Linked DNA regions of Xenopus tropicalis. The protein of the gene in region 2 purifies or fractionates together with the protein of the main gene of each other region. This does not show direct contact. Links are inferred from orthologs where the notes say so. Each region holds a gene or a part of one and is shown on either strand. Other genes may lie near its edges.

Evidence for each region.
Region 1: the proteins of eif4a2 (region 2) and eif4g3 purify together in Homo sapiens (affinity purification with mass spectrometry; 3 studies listed by BioGRID and IntAct, with this or other methods). This does not show direct contact. The link is inferred for Xenopus tropicalis from reciprocal best matches to the Homo sapiens genes EIF4A2 and EIF4G3.
Region 3: the proteins of eif4a2 (region 2) and eif4g1 purify together in Homo sapiens (affinity purification with mass spectrometry; 6 studies listed by BioGRID and IntAct, with this or other methods). This does not show direct contact. The link is inferred for Xenopus tropicalis from reciprocal best matches to the Homo sapiens genes EIF4A2 and EIF4G1.
Region 4: the proteins of eif4a2 (region 2) and eif3h purify together in Homo sapiens (affinity purification with mass spectrometry; 3 studies listed by BioGRID and IntAct, with this or other methods). This does not show direct contact. The link is inferred for Xenopus tropicalis from reciprocal best matches to the Homo sapiens genes EIF4A2 and EIF3H.

Annotation. Positions count from the first base shown.
Region 1 is NC_030683.2:132,837,485-132,841,049, reverse strand, and holds part of eif4g3 (eukaryotic translation initiation factor 4 gamma 3), read right to left. Parts: intron 3,303-3,565; coding exon 3,198-3,302; intron 3,102-3,197; coding exon 2,969-3,101; intron 2,869-2,968; coding exon 2,771-2,868; intron 2,463-2,770; coding exon 2,369-2,462; intron 2,270-2,368; coding exon 2,146-2,269; intron 1,493-2,145; coding exon 1,272-1,492; intron 1,153-1,271; coding exon 1,046-1,152; intron 894-1,045; coding exon 721-893; intron 562-720; coding exon 436-561; intron 209-435; coding exon 127-208; intron 4-126; coding exon 1-3. UniProt on the Homo sapiens protein: Component of the protein complex eIF4F, which is involved in the recognition of the mRNA cap, ATP-dependent unwinding of 5'-terminal secondary structure and recruitment of mRNA to the ribosome. Functional homolog of EIF4G1.
Region 2 is NC_030681.2:105,926,360-105,930,457, forward strand, and holds the start of eif4a2 (eukaryotic initiation factor 4A-II), read right to left. Parts: upstream 2,812-4,098; 5' UTR 2,786-2,811; coding exon of another isoform or gene 2,757-2,785; intron 1,969-2,756; coding exon of another isoform or gene 1,923-1,968; intron 1,844-1,922; coding exon of another isoform or gene 1,774-1,843; coding exon 1,711-1,773; intron 1,660-1,710; exon of another isoform or gene 1,588-1,659; intron 1,513-1,587; coding exon of another isoform or gene 1,373-1,512; intron 1-1,372. UniProt on the Homo sapiens protein: ATP-dependent RNA helicase which is a subunit of the eIF4F complex involved in cap recognition and is required for mRNA binding to ribosome.
Region 3 is NC_030681.2:99,828,129-99,832,221, reverse strand, and holds the start of eif4g1 (eukaryotic translation initiation factor 4 gamma 1), read left to right. Parts: upstream 1-1,275; 5' UTR 1,276-1,396; intron 1,397-4,093.
Region 4 is NC_030682.2:136,690,007-136,693,571, forward strand, and holds part of eif3h (eukaryotic translation initiation factor 3 subunit H), read right to left. Parts: intron 2,707-3,565; coding exon 2,586-2,706; intron 1,032-2,585; coding exon 899-1,031; intron 1-898.

The DNA.
Region 1 (3,565 bases), on a different chromosome or scaffold from region 2:
GCTCTGTAAGGGGCAACAGGACCAATGAGGTTGGAGCACCCCAAATAGGTACTCGGCCCACTCACTGGGACAGAAAGACCTAACGCCCCCCCCCCCCCATCTATCGCTGGGAAAGCCGGTACGTACCATTTGTTTGCATAGAAGGTGCAATATTTCCGACAATAATTCCCCTCCGCGTCCCACAGGGAGCAGAGCTTTGCCGAACTCTCTGTGTAGGAAAAAGCAGTTAATGGGAGGAGCCACATTGCCATGGTGCCACGCTGGGGGAATTTGGGGACTAAATAATCCAGATGGGGCCCTAACGGATAGAGGAGACTGCGTGGCCCTTGGTATGAGATTCCTGACAGATGATAAGAAAGCCCAGGGTTCATGGCTGTAATTGCCTTATCGCCCTAAGTCCCGCCTCCTATACAAACTTCATTCCCCCCCACTCACGTTATCAGCTCTCGTAGAGAGATCCCGCCTTCTTTCAACATGGGGGTTACCAGTTCCGCCAGGTACAGCCAGATGTGCGGGATGTCGATCGCCATGTCGTCGGCCAGCTCCAGCGTTTCCGAGAACCTGCGGCGTTGGCACAGAACGTTGTGACCCAAACCCATAAGCAAAAGACCGCCCCCCTATGGTCATGGCCAGGATACAGCTAGTGCCCACGCTTCCATAGCAACATTAAAGTCGTACTAACGCAGCCCCAACAGAACAAAACCAGCGATTAAAACTCACCCAGTGAAGAAGTCCAGTTTGCTGAGTTTGCCAGACTGGACCAGCTGGTAGAGGAGCTGACCCATGTGATCCCTGGTGATCTGACTCCGTTCCAGCGTTGACTCCACCCCCTGTCGTACGAAGACTGAGAGCGGCCCATTGGCACCGAGCTCCTCGACGCACTGCATGGCCTCCTGATGGGCGGAGACACAGGGAGAAGGTTCTAGCGACCAATGATCGGGAAGGGGAGGAGTCTGGGAAAGCCATATGCACCCATTGGACCCACCCAGGCTTCTCGTGCCCTTATTGCAACCCACCGGGCCGCCCTCCCACACACACACAGTACCTTGTAGTCATTAATATGGAGAAACTCATCAATGATGGCCTTGGATTTCCTCTCCATCTCCTCCTCTGACAGGGTGGGTTTGTCTGGTTCCGACGGCTCGGACTTGGCTGGGAAATGATAAATCTGTGTGAGTAAAATGGTGGAAATAGCCACGCCCCCTAATGATTCACACAGACAAGGGTCCTGGCTTGGGGCGGAGCTTATCTGCAGAACCGCAGGGTCTCACCTGGCTCTTTGGGCCGTCTCTCTGGCACAGTGTTCTTGTCGGGTTCGGCGACGTTCGTCAGCTGTTTGACCGTCTGGAGCGTCTCCCGGCGCAGCTCTTCCTGATTGTCGGCCGAGTCTTTGCTGCTGCCGCGCAGGAGGGTGCCGGGTCGGGGCGCAGACGGGATGGAGGAGGGCGCAGAGGGTTTGTCGTTCTTCTCTCGCCCCGTGCTTCCACGGCTGCTAAACCCCAAAACAACGGTCAGGTCACATGTTCTAGTATCAGGTCATCACTACAACTCCCATGATCATCAGCAAATGCTTCCTGGTTTCCAAGTGCCCACAAAGAAGGAAGCTGGTTACCCACCAGAACCATTGGGGCAAGCCCCTCCCAACAATAGGGAGGGAGGAGCCAATGCTGAGACCAGGCCTGTGATACCTCCCTGCGCCAGATGCTGCGCACCTCAGATTTATTGAAAGAATTCGTAGAGGGTCCTGGGAGTCACAGCGGGCAGGTAGGTGCCAGTTTGTGGCGCTGTTCCTAAGGCTTTGGCCTAGTGCCCAACTATAGGCAGAGGAGGGGGCAGTTCCCTGCAGTAAGTGTAAAATGGGAAGAGAAGGAGGTGCCTGAGGCACGGAGGCGGGGCAGGCTATATTTGATTGACAACTGAGATGACTAAATCTCTTTATAACAGGTTTGGGGGTTTTCATTGAAAAAAAAAAAAAAAAAAAAAAGAATTTGGGTTTCATGTTTATTCAGCAGCTTTATAGGTGTGGGTTCTACTTCCCCTTTAATTAGGAACACAATGCCCAAGGTCTAGCAGCAGTGGGGGAGGATACAAAATGGGACACCGACCAATGCGAGGGGCCACAGAGCAATGTGAGGGCCACATTACCTGGTTAGTAACCTGCGAGAGTCCAGCTCAGAGGGGGACGATGAGGAGGAGGAAGACACAGAGGAGAGCGGCTGCTGCAGAGCAGAGAACCTGTTCAGGCTGGGGGCTCCCGGTCTCAGAGATTCTAACAGAACAGACAATGAGCAATGCATTAGCTGGGGGGGCACGTGGGGTTTGTGGCTACTAACTACCCCAGCCCAGAGAGGGAAGCCTGAGCTCTTACCAGTCTCACTAGCCTTGGCACCTCCGCTGCTCCCCTTTAACCAGCTGCCAGGCTGAGCTTTGGGAACCAACTGGATCTTCTCATCTATAGTGGGCTGAGGGCAAAAAAGAGAGGGGGGGTAAATACAAAATCCCCTGGGCACACCCTGAATGCCCTGTAATACACGCAGAGACCTGTAAGGCTGTGCCAGGAGAGATGCCAGGGGAGAGATGCCAGGGCGTCACTCAGAAGGGCACATACAGGAGAACGAGAAGCTAGCACTCTACAGATACCACAGAGGAGGGGGGTAATTAATCCAGTAACTGCGGGCAAGGCTGGCACAGATTTATCGGAGGAACCCCCTAACCAAAGCAACAAGGCATGGGCTGAGCTCAGTGCCACGGGAGGGGGCAGCCTCCTTACCTTAGTGATTTTCAGAAACTTGGAAGGGTCCAGCACCCTGTTATTCTTTGCCCCCTGCACAGTGTTCCATCCGCCTTCATCCACTCTCTGCACCCCTGCTGGGGACAAGCACAGGCTGTAAGCACAGCGCCCCCTGCTGCCTGAAAGGGATAAGGCCCCCCCGCAGGGGGACGTTGGGGCCGCGGTGCCTCTCCTTACCTGGTCTCCTCTTCTCTTTGGTCATTAACTGCTGCACTTTCCTCTGCTCCTCCTGTTCCTCTATCTTGGCCTCTTTATGGATCTGCTCGATGGTCTTGGGCCCCTGGTCTGCCCGGCGGGACACCCAGTTACTCTGCCGAAAGGGCGACATTCTTATCTCATTGCACAAAAGACATAAACTGGGGGGGGGGGACAGGGAGCACTATATTATTATTATGGCTCCACCCACCAGCCGGAGGTCTATGACATCCTGCAGCATAAAGCGGATTCTAGACGAGGTTTTTCTCTCCTTAACGATCTTCTCCATCTGGTTAAAGTACTGATCCATACGTGGCTGTAACAGAGTGGGTATTAGCCATTAACTGAGAAACACAATGTCATGTTATATTCCTGTCTGACCATGGGAAAGAGAGCAGCCCAGGAGCAGGAAGTACAGAGAATCAGAGCTCTGTACCTGGGTAAGTACTGGGGGGAGATTGGATTCACTTACCCAGGGGGGGGGGCCTGTCTGACCATGGGAAAGAGAGCAGCCCAGGAGCAGGAAGTACAGAGAATCAGAGCTCTGTACCTGGGTAAGTACTGGGGGAGATTGGATTC
Region 2 (4,098 bases):
GTCAAATATGCACAAAGATTAAAAGCTTTTCCATGCCACAGGAGGAACTTACAGTGCAGATATGCTACACTACAGGACACTTAAGTCAATATTTTAATATGTAGAAAGAGGTGCACAAATAATAATCTAAGGGTCTTTAAAGAGGATTTAAAGTACTGTAAAAATAATTGCTGTGGGGCTTCATTAAAGTCTTTTGTGAAAGGGAGAGTAGAGTGCATGGTTAGTAATTGCTGACAGGGATACAAGAATTTTTATAAAAAAAAAAAAAAAAAGTCATGTTTGATTCTAAAATGATACGCATAAGTACTGCACTCCAAAGCCCTTGTCGTAGAACAGTTCAAATATGGTTGATGCCATCAGCTTGGCTGGCAAACCACACCCTTAATGCATGTGTAGTATGTTCAAGCCATATTACAAAGGTTCATGAATTCTAGGCCTAACCAACTCAAGAAGCCAGGTACAGCACTTCAGCACAGACTAGTAAATGTGGCCCTAAGGATCTGCTAGCTGTTCAAACCACATCAGTGCGATTAGCCATAGAAGCCAGTCAGCAAATAGATCTGATGTTCTAATTTGTTAGAAAATGGTCACTGCCAAATGGTTGCTATGGGCTAATGCACTAATTTAGTTTAGCACATCTTCATTAGCTTCATTAGATTACAGTTAATCAATGGAGTAAAACATTCTTTAATGGAGGCTGGGTAATCTTCCCACAGAAAGCCATGTTTCTTAGAGACTTTATATACACATTTACCCACACCTATTTAGCACATTAAACAAATGTGCAAGTCTTACTACAAAGGTCACTATGGTTTCAAATTAGTATGCCCCTTAGGAAGCAATATTAAATCAGGTGTCGCCTGGCCTTTTGGACCAGTCTGCCATTGTTGGCAACTGCAGCCTTAAGGATATTTTAAATAGCCAGATACATGACTGCTTAGATCATGCCTTTAGTCATTATAACCCAAGGGCCTAAGAACACTAAAGTAAACACCATAATGGTAGGAAGAAGAGTTAAAAAAAATCCTTTGCTGTGAAGTTACTTACTAGTATATTTTAATAAGTAAGTAGCACAGATAATGACATTTAAGAACACTGCTCATTATACTACTACTACACAAAAACGGGGGGTGGACACAGTATGGCGGCTTATTAGTGATAATCAGCAGTACGGTTAAATGAAAACACTTTGCTTTAGGTTTAACTTAATTTCCCTGCCATAATACTGCAACAAATTTATGCACCACTAGCTACATCAGTTAAAGAAACAGATAGTTTCCCTTTAGATATTCAGTATTTTATCATTAAGCGTTCGCTAGTGTGTTTAGTTATTAAACTGAAGCCTGTGCAGCACATACTAGCCTATCAATACCTGTTGAGCGAGTTCTCTTGTAGGGGCCAATACTAGAGCTTGGGTCTCCTTGAGATCAATCTCCAGCTGCTGCAGGATGGAAATAGCAAATGTGGCTGTCTTGCCAGTACCTGACTGAGCTTGAGCAATCACATCATACCCTAAAAAAAGTAGGATACACATTCAATGTTCCCACATTTTATTTTGGCACTTTAACTATTAGTCACATAATATACAAGTGATCAGCAAAACAGAAAAACTCTTCACATCAACTCAGTCCCGAAAGATGGTATGCCATCATCTCACTTGTATTAAGGGAAGCTTTTTATTCTACCTACTCAGATGTGAACTTTTCTTACCTTTGATACAGGGAATGATTGCCCTTTGTTGTATGGCTGATGGTTTTTCAAAACCATAAGCATAAATGCCTCTCAGAAGAGATTCTTTAAGATTCATGTCATCAAAATTGTCAACAATTTCATTCCAGTTGCTCTGCAATGGCAAGTTAACCAGTTATTTATCAGTGAGAAGCAGAATTTAACATAAAAGGAGAAATAAGCATTATGCTCACCTCAATGACACCATCGGGGTCCATACCATCAGGGCCTCCATGGTCTCTGAGAAGAATAACACAAGTGCACTTCAAGTCATGTCTTTGCCTTAAGCAAACGGACATACACCACCACCCAAGCTACAGAGCAGCAGCTATATTGGCACATGCATATATACAAGTTGATGTATAAGAGGCACACAGCCTAAAGAAGGCAGCTGCTGCAGTTACATTCATTTAACAGGCATAACAAGATGTTGCAGCTGCTACAGTATCCTGCTTACATTTAACAGTGATGGGACAGTTGCTTACTTAACATCTGTACCCAATAAAGTATATATCTATCACAGGATAACAATTACCTATCAAATTAATTAGTAACCGTAGCGAAGCATACAGCCAAGCTCTTGCGCCCTTCGCACAGTGCTCACAATTCATGGCGCCATGTTCTGCCGGCGCCATCTTCCCCCCCTCCCCACCCTGCGGATGAGAGCCACAGCCCTTAGGTGAATCCAAACCGTTTCGCTCTAAAATTGTGCGTAGGTCCGCAACCAAAAGACATAGCCGCATTCCCAAAGCTTACTCATGTGCAGAGCAGGGCATCATTACGGTCAGGAACACCTCGCCATACCGCTTCTAGTTACTACCCAACTACAACACCCTGCAGCATTTGGCACAAGATTCCGGGAATTCGCAGAGCCCTGAAGAAGCCCGCGTGTAAAGCCGACCAAGAAGGCCTTACACTCAGCCCCTAACAAATATATATTGCCACTAAATGTTATAGTCTCTACCACCCACTCCCTCTTTTAGGGCTACCTAAAAATCCTCGTTCAATAACTTGTGCAAAACAGTTACCTAGTATAATCCGCAGAACCGCCTGACATGATCCACACCGCACTTCAGAGCTCAACTGAAAAGGACTTGGAAAGCTACCACGTCCGATTTATACAACTGGGACTACATTCCGAACCGCGGACGAACACCAGTAAAAAGACGATTTTATTGACTAATGCGTGCAAGTCTCATACTATTCAGGATTACAACCCAAAAGCGGTAGAGATTATTTTATTATTTATTCTCGTACGACAATATTTTGTACTCTTATGTTATTTTGTGGTATAGGTACTATTTTTTTGTCGATGAGTCGTCTGTGCTCTCCGCGGAAAGATATTGCAGCATATTGTGTAGGGTTTCGGTCCCTGAACAGTACGGGGTTTCCGGAGCAGCCCCTGCACGGGCAGATTGCTAAGACCTCCTCCCTTGCGGTCAGTGGGTGACGTTCTGTGTGCTGTACGTGATGCAGGGAAGAGAAGCTGGATGGTGCAGTACCTCTAGCAATGAAGTTGTGCTGATAAAATGTTAAGCGTGTTTGCTAAAACGAGGTATCGTAATGTGTGCAAACTGCGCAAAGCATTGTAGCTCCAGCCCAACATCGGTATCATTTAACCTAGTTTATGTACATTATTGATTTCTGAAAACTGGAGAAAGTTCAAATCTATGTTGTTCTGCCTCAGCGGGGATTATTAAATGCAGAACATTATTAGATTTTCTGCAGTGGAGTTCTGCTTTTGCTGTGTAGGTATTTGTGATGGTAAGTGGTTCCCTCTGATGGCTTCTACATAACCCCCCCCCAAAAAAATATTCCTGCGTAAAATACTTTATTCTTTTGTGGGTTTTGTATTTTTATTGACTAACAATAATTCATGCAAACCTAAACTGCACACATTAATGTGGGCACAGTTAATTCTAATTAACACTGTGTTGGCAGCACTGATACACTAAAAATTAAATAAAACCATTAAAAATGCAATAAAATCATCAATATAAAATGTAAAAAGTAATTATGCAGGGTAATAAGCTTGCAAACAGGGCAATAAAACACTGTTCAGAGAAAAAAACTAAATAAAAGGTTTAAATGAATTTGTACACTTGGGGGCAGATTTATTAAAGTCCGAATTTAAATTAATGTAAAGTATGTTTTGGAAAAATTCGGGTTAAATGTGATAATTTCTGATGTGAGTTAATTGCGCGAAAATTTGTATTGTGATATGATCCGAAAGTTATGAAATTTTCGTATCTTAACAATCATAAATGGCGTGAAAAACTTTCTGACTGAACCTTCGGTGCATGATTTCGGAAGCCTACCATAGGACTCAATGGCACTCTGCTGCTCCAACCCGGCCCAAGGAAAGTCTCC
Region 3 (4,093 bases), about 6.1 Mb from region 2:
ACCGCAACCCCCCCCCCATGCGTGCCACTTCATTCATTCGGAGCCATGGGGAGAGGACGCGCTAAAGTTTTGGCGCTTCCTCTCCCCATTATTCTGCACGGGGGCAAATTGTTCTGGTGTGGGTGTGGGCCTGGGTGTACTGCCAAACAGAGCCTGATGTAGGCTGCCAGTCAATATAGGGGCTACAAAATAACCAATCAGAGTCCCTATTTGTAACCCCAGGAACAGTTTTCATGCTTGTGTTGCTCACCAACTCTTTATACATTTGAATGTTGCTCACAGGTAAAAAAAGTTGGGGATCCCTGCTCTACATCATACTACTAAGGGGCAGATTTACCAAAGCACGAATTCAAATCCCGAATGGCAAAAATTCAGATTGGAAATGAAAATTTCGCTGTCATTTCGTCGCCGTCGCAACTTTTTCGTATTTGTTTCGACTTTTTCTTCGCCGGTGCGACTTTATCGTATTTTGCGCGACTATTTCATCGCCGTCACGATTTTTTTGTATTGAGCAATTATAAACGCCGGAAAAACCAATCCGATTTTTTTGCGACGGCGACGAAAAAAGTCGCAGAAAATATAAGAAAAAGTTTGACGGCGACGAAAAAGTCACGGAACATACGAAAAAGTCATGACGGCGACGAAAAAGTCGTAAAAATACCGATCATTACAAAAAAAATGCATTCGGACCGTGGATTAGTAAATGTGCCCCTAAGTCACAAAAGAGTTCCATGACAAAGTCACTGCACAAGGAGAAGTACTTTTATACAGATCATGGAATTCTGAGGTGGCTCCTAATATCCTCAGTTATTTTACAACAGGGAATACATTGTTTATTATAATACACACGTTTCAGTGAGTCATATGAAATAAGCTGCATCACAGGATAGTCACGGTTCTTGTGTGCGTTTGTATACATTGTTTTAAAATAAATAAATATATATATATATTGGAATTCTAAATAGGACGTTGGTAGCAACATCACAAAATGAATTTTTGCTAAACATTACCGTTTTGTAGTAAAAGTAAGTCATTATAATGTAGATACGCGCTACATACACTTCTGAAATAATTTCTCACACATAGTCGCAGCAGCTTGGCTAGTAGACAAAATGAACACGCATATGTTCGGGAATACAAAATCTTTAAACACACACTATATCGAGCAAAAATCTCGCATTAGCCCTAACACACTTCAAGTCACGTGATACCGGCAACATTCTAATCACGTGATGTGTGCAGGGAAGACAACGCGGCGCTAGTTTGTGCTCTTCCCTTTCCGCTTTTAGTCTGTCACGTGGATTGGGTCTGCGCTTGCGTAGAGGTTCGCCGGGATCCGGAAATGGTTGAGCTAGCTGGTGCGACTGCGCCCGGCTGCGCGGACTGAGGAAAGCAGGTGAGAATCGGTGGGGCCTGATTTGTAATCCATTGCCATCCTTCGTCCTGTTAATGCCTGTCGAGTCTGAAACGTGAATTGGTAACTTACTAGTGGCGCTTACCCACCGGCACCGCGTGGCGCGATGTCCGTGTACTTAAAGCTGCCTCACCATGGCCTGTCCGTATGAGGCCCTTAACAACCCTTTTAGCTGTCCTTCATAGCTAAAGTCCGCTCGGCGTGAGAGTCGAGCAGACAAGATTGGCATTTCATGTTGTGTTGTTTGTGTAAATGTGAGGAGAGATGGATGGAATTGCTTACTGAAGCCGGTTCCGTATGGAGCGGCACAGCGAGGAGTACGTGTGACATTGTGTCAGTTTAGGTGGGTAGCGCGGAGGGGGCGGAGGCGCAGTGACATCATGCACCTCATGAGTTACAGCATGCACCGGCAATCAAAATGTCCTCCATCAGGGGCTTTAATGGCTCCGTAGGCTCAGGAACTCCATGCGGTTATTCGGCGGGCATGAATGAATGGCACCATACCGTTTCAACGCGAAAAGAGCTTGTGCTGGTAGGGAGTGGGAAACTTAGCTTGCCCTATTGTTTTATATGGCACGTCATTTCTTTTGTGACCCTCCACTGTTCATTTGCGGCCAGTTCTATCCGTGATAGTGCATTCAAATAATATATTAACACGTTGGAACTGTAAAAAAATAAGCTGCCTTTCCTGAAACTTCTAGGACTTGATATCCCAGTTTAGGAAGACAGGTTCTCCCATCTTTTTCTTCAGCTCAAACTTAAATGAGACTTTTTTTTTTTGTAACTATTGTTATTTCTGTTAACATATGTTTTAACTGGATGTGTGTCTGTGGGTGGGTGAAGGGCGGGCACTATGGGTGACACTTAGTTTTGCTGAGTAAGTGAAAGTAATCCCACAAAGGCTATATAGTGTGCTTGCTTCATCTGCACCCCACACCCACCCTAGGGTGCTCTAGCATGCTGCTTCTTAATCTTTTACTGATGGCACTGCCTTTTTTTTTTTTTTTTTTATTATAACACTGCCATTTTATAGCATCAACTTTGTGTGTAATACATATAATGTCAAATTATATATAACGGCACTCACTTAATGGAGAGAATGTCTGGGTGCATACCCACCCCAAATATGTAATATAGAATGTCATATAAAGCAGAGTACTTACAGGACTTGAATGTATGGTGAAAAAGAAATGTCCTGTCCTTACTTTTAAGTCCTGTAAGCACCCTAAGATATATATTCATATAATTTACATTTTTGACCCTGAGAATAACTTGCATTTATAAATTTGTATGGTTATGCTATCACATGGTTGTTTTAGTTCTGTTTTATTCTGTGTAGCTCTGGTATAGGCAAGACACTAGTTAACCTTCCTTATCTTTGAAACTGTAAACTTAGCTCTGCTGCCCTAATTGTGAAACATTTCTTGAAGCAGTTGATTGCAGTAGTGGTAAACGAAACTGGTGTAGTGTGTTAGTGGCGGTGGTTAATTGGGCAGTTTGGTGCAGATCTTTTTGATAGTAGATCAGGCAAATGGACGTAAGAGACAGCTCCTAAAAATATGGGGTTAGCCTGATAGTAGCCTTCAACACTCCTGCCTTTATTACTTCTGTATTTATATCCATGTCCATCATTTGCATGCTTTCAAGGTCTGCTTTAGTGTAATGAGTAGAGGACCCCGGATCATTTGACTTTAACGCGCCACAGAATCAGTTATGTTCTGTCACCTGTTGCATTATGCATCAGTAGAACTTGTACGACTTCTCTGTTTCTTTGTTATAATTGTTTTACTAAGGTTTTAACAATGCTGCATACATGTTTTATTAAATATTATATTTAGTCAACAGTTTAGCATTATATCTTAATTATCTATGTAGCGCTGACTTATTCCACAGTGCTTTACAGATATTTATGTTTACATGAGTCCCTGACAAAATTGAGTTTAAAATCCAAATCGGTGTAAATCTCATCTGCTGGTTAGTACCTGCTTTTTTTTTATTTATTTTTTGCATAAGTCACTGTATAACCACTAGGAAATAATAACATCTGTTATAAAAAAAAACAAACATTTTTGTTAGCAACTTTAAAAAAGTAAAGTTTAAATCACCGGGGGTTGTCTATATTAGGTACCCTCCAGTGATTAAGATTGCTTGCCATATACCCTGGGCCAGTGCTTCTGTTTGCTAAAAACTGTCCGGACCCAGAGTAATTTCTGCTGCAGATCCTTATCGCCACCTTCTTCTGAGTCTTTCTTCTGTTCCAGTTGACCCATTCACAGTAGAATGAAAGCCGAAATTAAAAATAAAAAGCTGGCTCTTGCACTCTAGTGCACATGCGCACTCCCACTCCACGGTGAAAAGAGGAGAAAGCACAGAAGAACTTCTGCAGAAAAACCCCAGTCTGGTGCAGCTTTCTGCTAACAGGAGCACTGGTCCAGTGTATCGAGTAAGCCATTACGATTACTGGGAGGGTGCCTAACACTTGGCACCCCCCAGTTATTTAGACTTTCCTTCTCCTTTAATGATGATCTTCATGAAACCAACATGAACACTCAGGTGTGATGCTTGGCAGTAAAACCTGTTCATGTGACTAACTTTTTTTTCAGAATAAATGTCAATCAAAATTCCTTTATTAAAGGAACAGTAACACAAAAAATGAAAGAGCTTTAAAATAATAAAAAT
Region 4 (3,565 bases), on a different chromosome or scaffold from region 2:
CTATTTTCTCTAAGGTGTGGTAGGAGCCTTCTTTTAAAGGGCAAGTCAACCCAAAAAATAATTTTTTGCCTAATAAAACAAAACATAATTCTAAGCAACTTTGTAATATAAATGTATTGAAAATGGTTACGGTTTCAAGCGTTATTTGTAAATATAATTCCAACGGAAGACCACATATGCTTAACTCCTGGTTATGACTTTTTAAACAATGTTGCAAACGTCAGTCTCCTCCAGCGAGTCAGGTCTGTCAGGCTGCTGCCTTGTGTTACATCAGGATTCCCCAACCTTTTTAACCCGTGAGCAACGTTTCAATTAAATAAAAGTTGGGGAGCAACACAGACGTGAAAATTTTTTCGAGTGGGCGAGCATTAATGACTGCGATTGGCTATTTAGTAGCCCCATGTGAATTGCAGGCCTGCAAGAAGCTCTGCTTGGAGTAAAACTGTGTCTGGGCTTCCAAAACTTGCCTCCAAGTCAGAAATGTAAAAATGGCACCTACTTTGGGGCAACTGGGAGCAACATCAAAGGGGGTGGAGAGCAACATGTTGCCCCTGAGCCACTGGTTAGGGATCCCTGTGTTACATTGTTCCAAATGCCAGAACCCCCAGGGCAGGGAATAGAAAAGGACTGGCAAACACTGCTTCTTATAGCAATTATATATGCAAATAACCATTACAAATTTGTAATAAATGTATATTGCAAAGTTGCTAAGAATAATGTTTTCTTTAATTAGGCAAAAATTATTTTATTGGGTTAACGTGTCCTTTAATAGTATTTTGGAAGTGTGAGATTGTGTGTAGGACACAATCAGTAGTCATAGTCAGGTATTTATCAGTAATACGCTTTTTAAAAAAAGTGCAAGAGACATGGCCACTGCCCAGTGCATTACCCACATTACCTGCAATAAGAAGGGAATCCATTCTGGAAGGAGGCACAGGGGGCTTAAACAGCTTGTTTACATCTTCCTCGGGCAAAGAGGTCTCTCCGCGGCTCTGGCGCTGTAGGTTTTCTTGTTGCCTTCTTTGCGTGTACTGCAATGAGACAGAAAAAACAACATATTATTAGCTAGTTGTGTTGCATTTATTTATTGCACACCGACATTAGGAGACATTTATTTGCCTGGCCACAGAGTAACGTATAAAGAAAAAAAAATACAATAAATGGAAAAAAGGAGGATTGTGTAGGATGAGTATATTGAGTGTATTATCCCTTTAAGGTTCTGCAAAATGATTTAAAAATCCCTAGAGAAGAACGGACTTTCTTTGTGCCCCACAGACTGCAGATTTGTGCCGCCAAATACCTCTGTATATAAGAAAAGCTGCAGAAGTTAGCATAGGTGCGCCGGTAACATTCACAGCCGAAACAAACAGCTTTTGAGCACAAGCGCGGATTTATGTAATTGGCGTAAGGGACATTAACGATGCTGTAATGAACCACAACCAAAGCAATTAGAGGTAAATGAAGCCTGCAAGGCTAAACTTTTTTTTTCTCCTTTGCTTCCTATGATAAAATTATAGTCTTGAGTGATATTTTGCAATGGATAACGCTGGAGAGAGAAGAGGGGGGGGGGGGGCTGGTTAATGACCGGCTTTCCACTTGTTTCTTAAATACCTTCAAACGCTTTAGCTTTCTTGAATCAAATACGGAAAAATACAGGCGTTTCTATTCATCTGGCGAAAACGCTTCATTAGTTTGCACACGGGGATCAGGGTAAATGTAATAGACTAAGAAATGAGGAAAGGCTGCAAAGCATACTGAATAACCTGTAATATTCACAGGGCAGCGTTATTTCATGGGCCCGGGGGGGCGCAACTGATGGCTCTGCAGCAAGAGTGTCAAACATGGGGGCCTTCCAGCTGCTATTGTTATTATATAGTTAAAGTACATAGGTTAAAGAGATTCGGTCATAATTTTTACGGTATACCTTTTATTTTTAAATGACACTGTTTAGACAGCAAATAATTCACTCTGTCATTTAAAATGTTATTCTTGAACCAACAAATGTATTTTTAGCTGTAATATTGGTGTGTAGGCGCCATCTCAGTGCATTGTACCAGAGTCTGAGCTTTCAGAAGGAGCCAGCGCTACACATTAGAACTGCTTTCAGCTAACCTATTGTTTCTCCTACTCCCATGTAACTGGAGGAGTCCCAAGCCGGACTTGGATTTATTACTATTGAGTGCTATTCTGATACCTACTGGGAACTGCTATCTTGCTCCCTTCCCATTGTTCTGCTGATCGGCTGCTGGGGGGGGGGGGGGGTATCACTCCAACTTGCAGCGCAGCAGTAAAGTGTGACTGAAGTTTATCAGAGCACAGGTTACATGGCTGTGGCACCCTGGGAAATGAAGACAATGGCTAGCCCCATGTGACATTTCAAAAATGAATATAAAAAAAAAAATCTGTGTGTTTATGAAAAACAGATTTCCATGCAGGATTCTGCTGGAGAAGCTCTATTAATGGATTGGTTTTGAAAAAAACATGTTTTCCCATGATAGCATTCCCGGCCCTGCCCCCGAGGATCAAGCAAAGCCACATCCCATGTAGGAAGCGCTCTATTCCCCGAGCCAATAAAGGTAACCCACCTGGTGCTTCTGCTGCTGCTGCTTGCTGATATTACGCAGGTAAGTGTTGTATTTCACAATGTCCTGGCTCAGTTCATCCACTCTGTCCATAAGGAGCTGCAGGCTTTTCTCCAGGTGGTTACTGGGTAGGGTAAAAGGAACAGACACAGATTAAATACAAAGGCCCAGATACCCAGAAACCTATATGGACTGTACATAAAAGTGTGAAAAAATGCCAAGCGACTATGTAACCACCAACCATTCCTTTAGCAACCATTCTACAGCAGGTGCCTGTGGGTTGCAGACATGGGTGTAGGTTGAGTCACTGGTCTCTACAGGAGTTTTAATTCTAAACCTATTTTTTCTCTTGTTTTTTTCCCCACTTCCAACAACATCACTTTAGAGTTATATATTATTACCAAATAACAACAACATTTCCTGAACAGCTGAACTAAAGTTGGCCACACTGAAAGATCTGCTCGTTTGGCCAAACAAGCGGATATTTCCCCAATATGACTGCCCCAAGGTGAACAATATTGGATTGATCCTTAGCGCCAAATGACCAAATCAAATCGACTGGATCCGGGATGTCAGGATTACATGCAAGCAGGCCATTGGAGGGCTTAGGCACTCTTCGGCTGAACAGTGTTAAAATGTTAAAAAGCGTCCTGCTCATTAGAGCTTACAATCAAAAAACAAGGAGAAGGGTTTAATTTAGGCAAGGTGTCCTGAGGGACAAACAGCCCTCCTTATATGATGTCAACAGACTTACAGGTATGGGACCTGTTATCCAAAATGTTCAGGGCCTGGGATTTTCCAGATAAGGGATTCTTCCATAATTTTGATCTCAAACCCTTAAGTCTAGTAAGACTAGCAAGTCTAGTAAGAAATCATTTAAACATGAAATAACCCCAATAGGATTGATCCACTCCAATAAGGGGTAATTATATCTTAGTTGGGATCAAGTACAGGCACTGTTTTATTATTACAGAGAAAAGGGA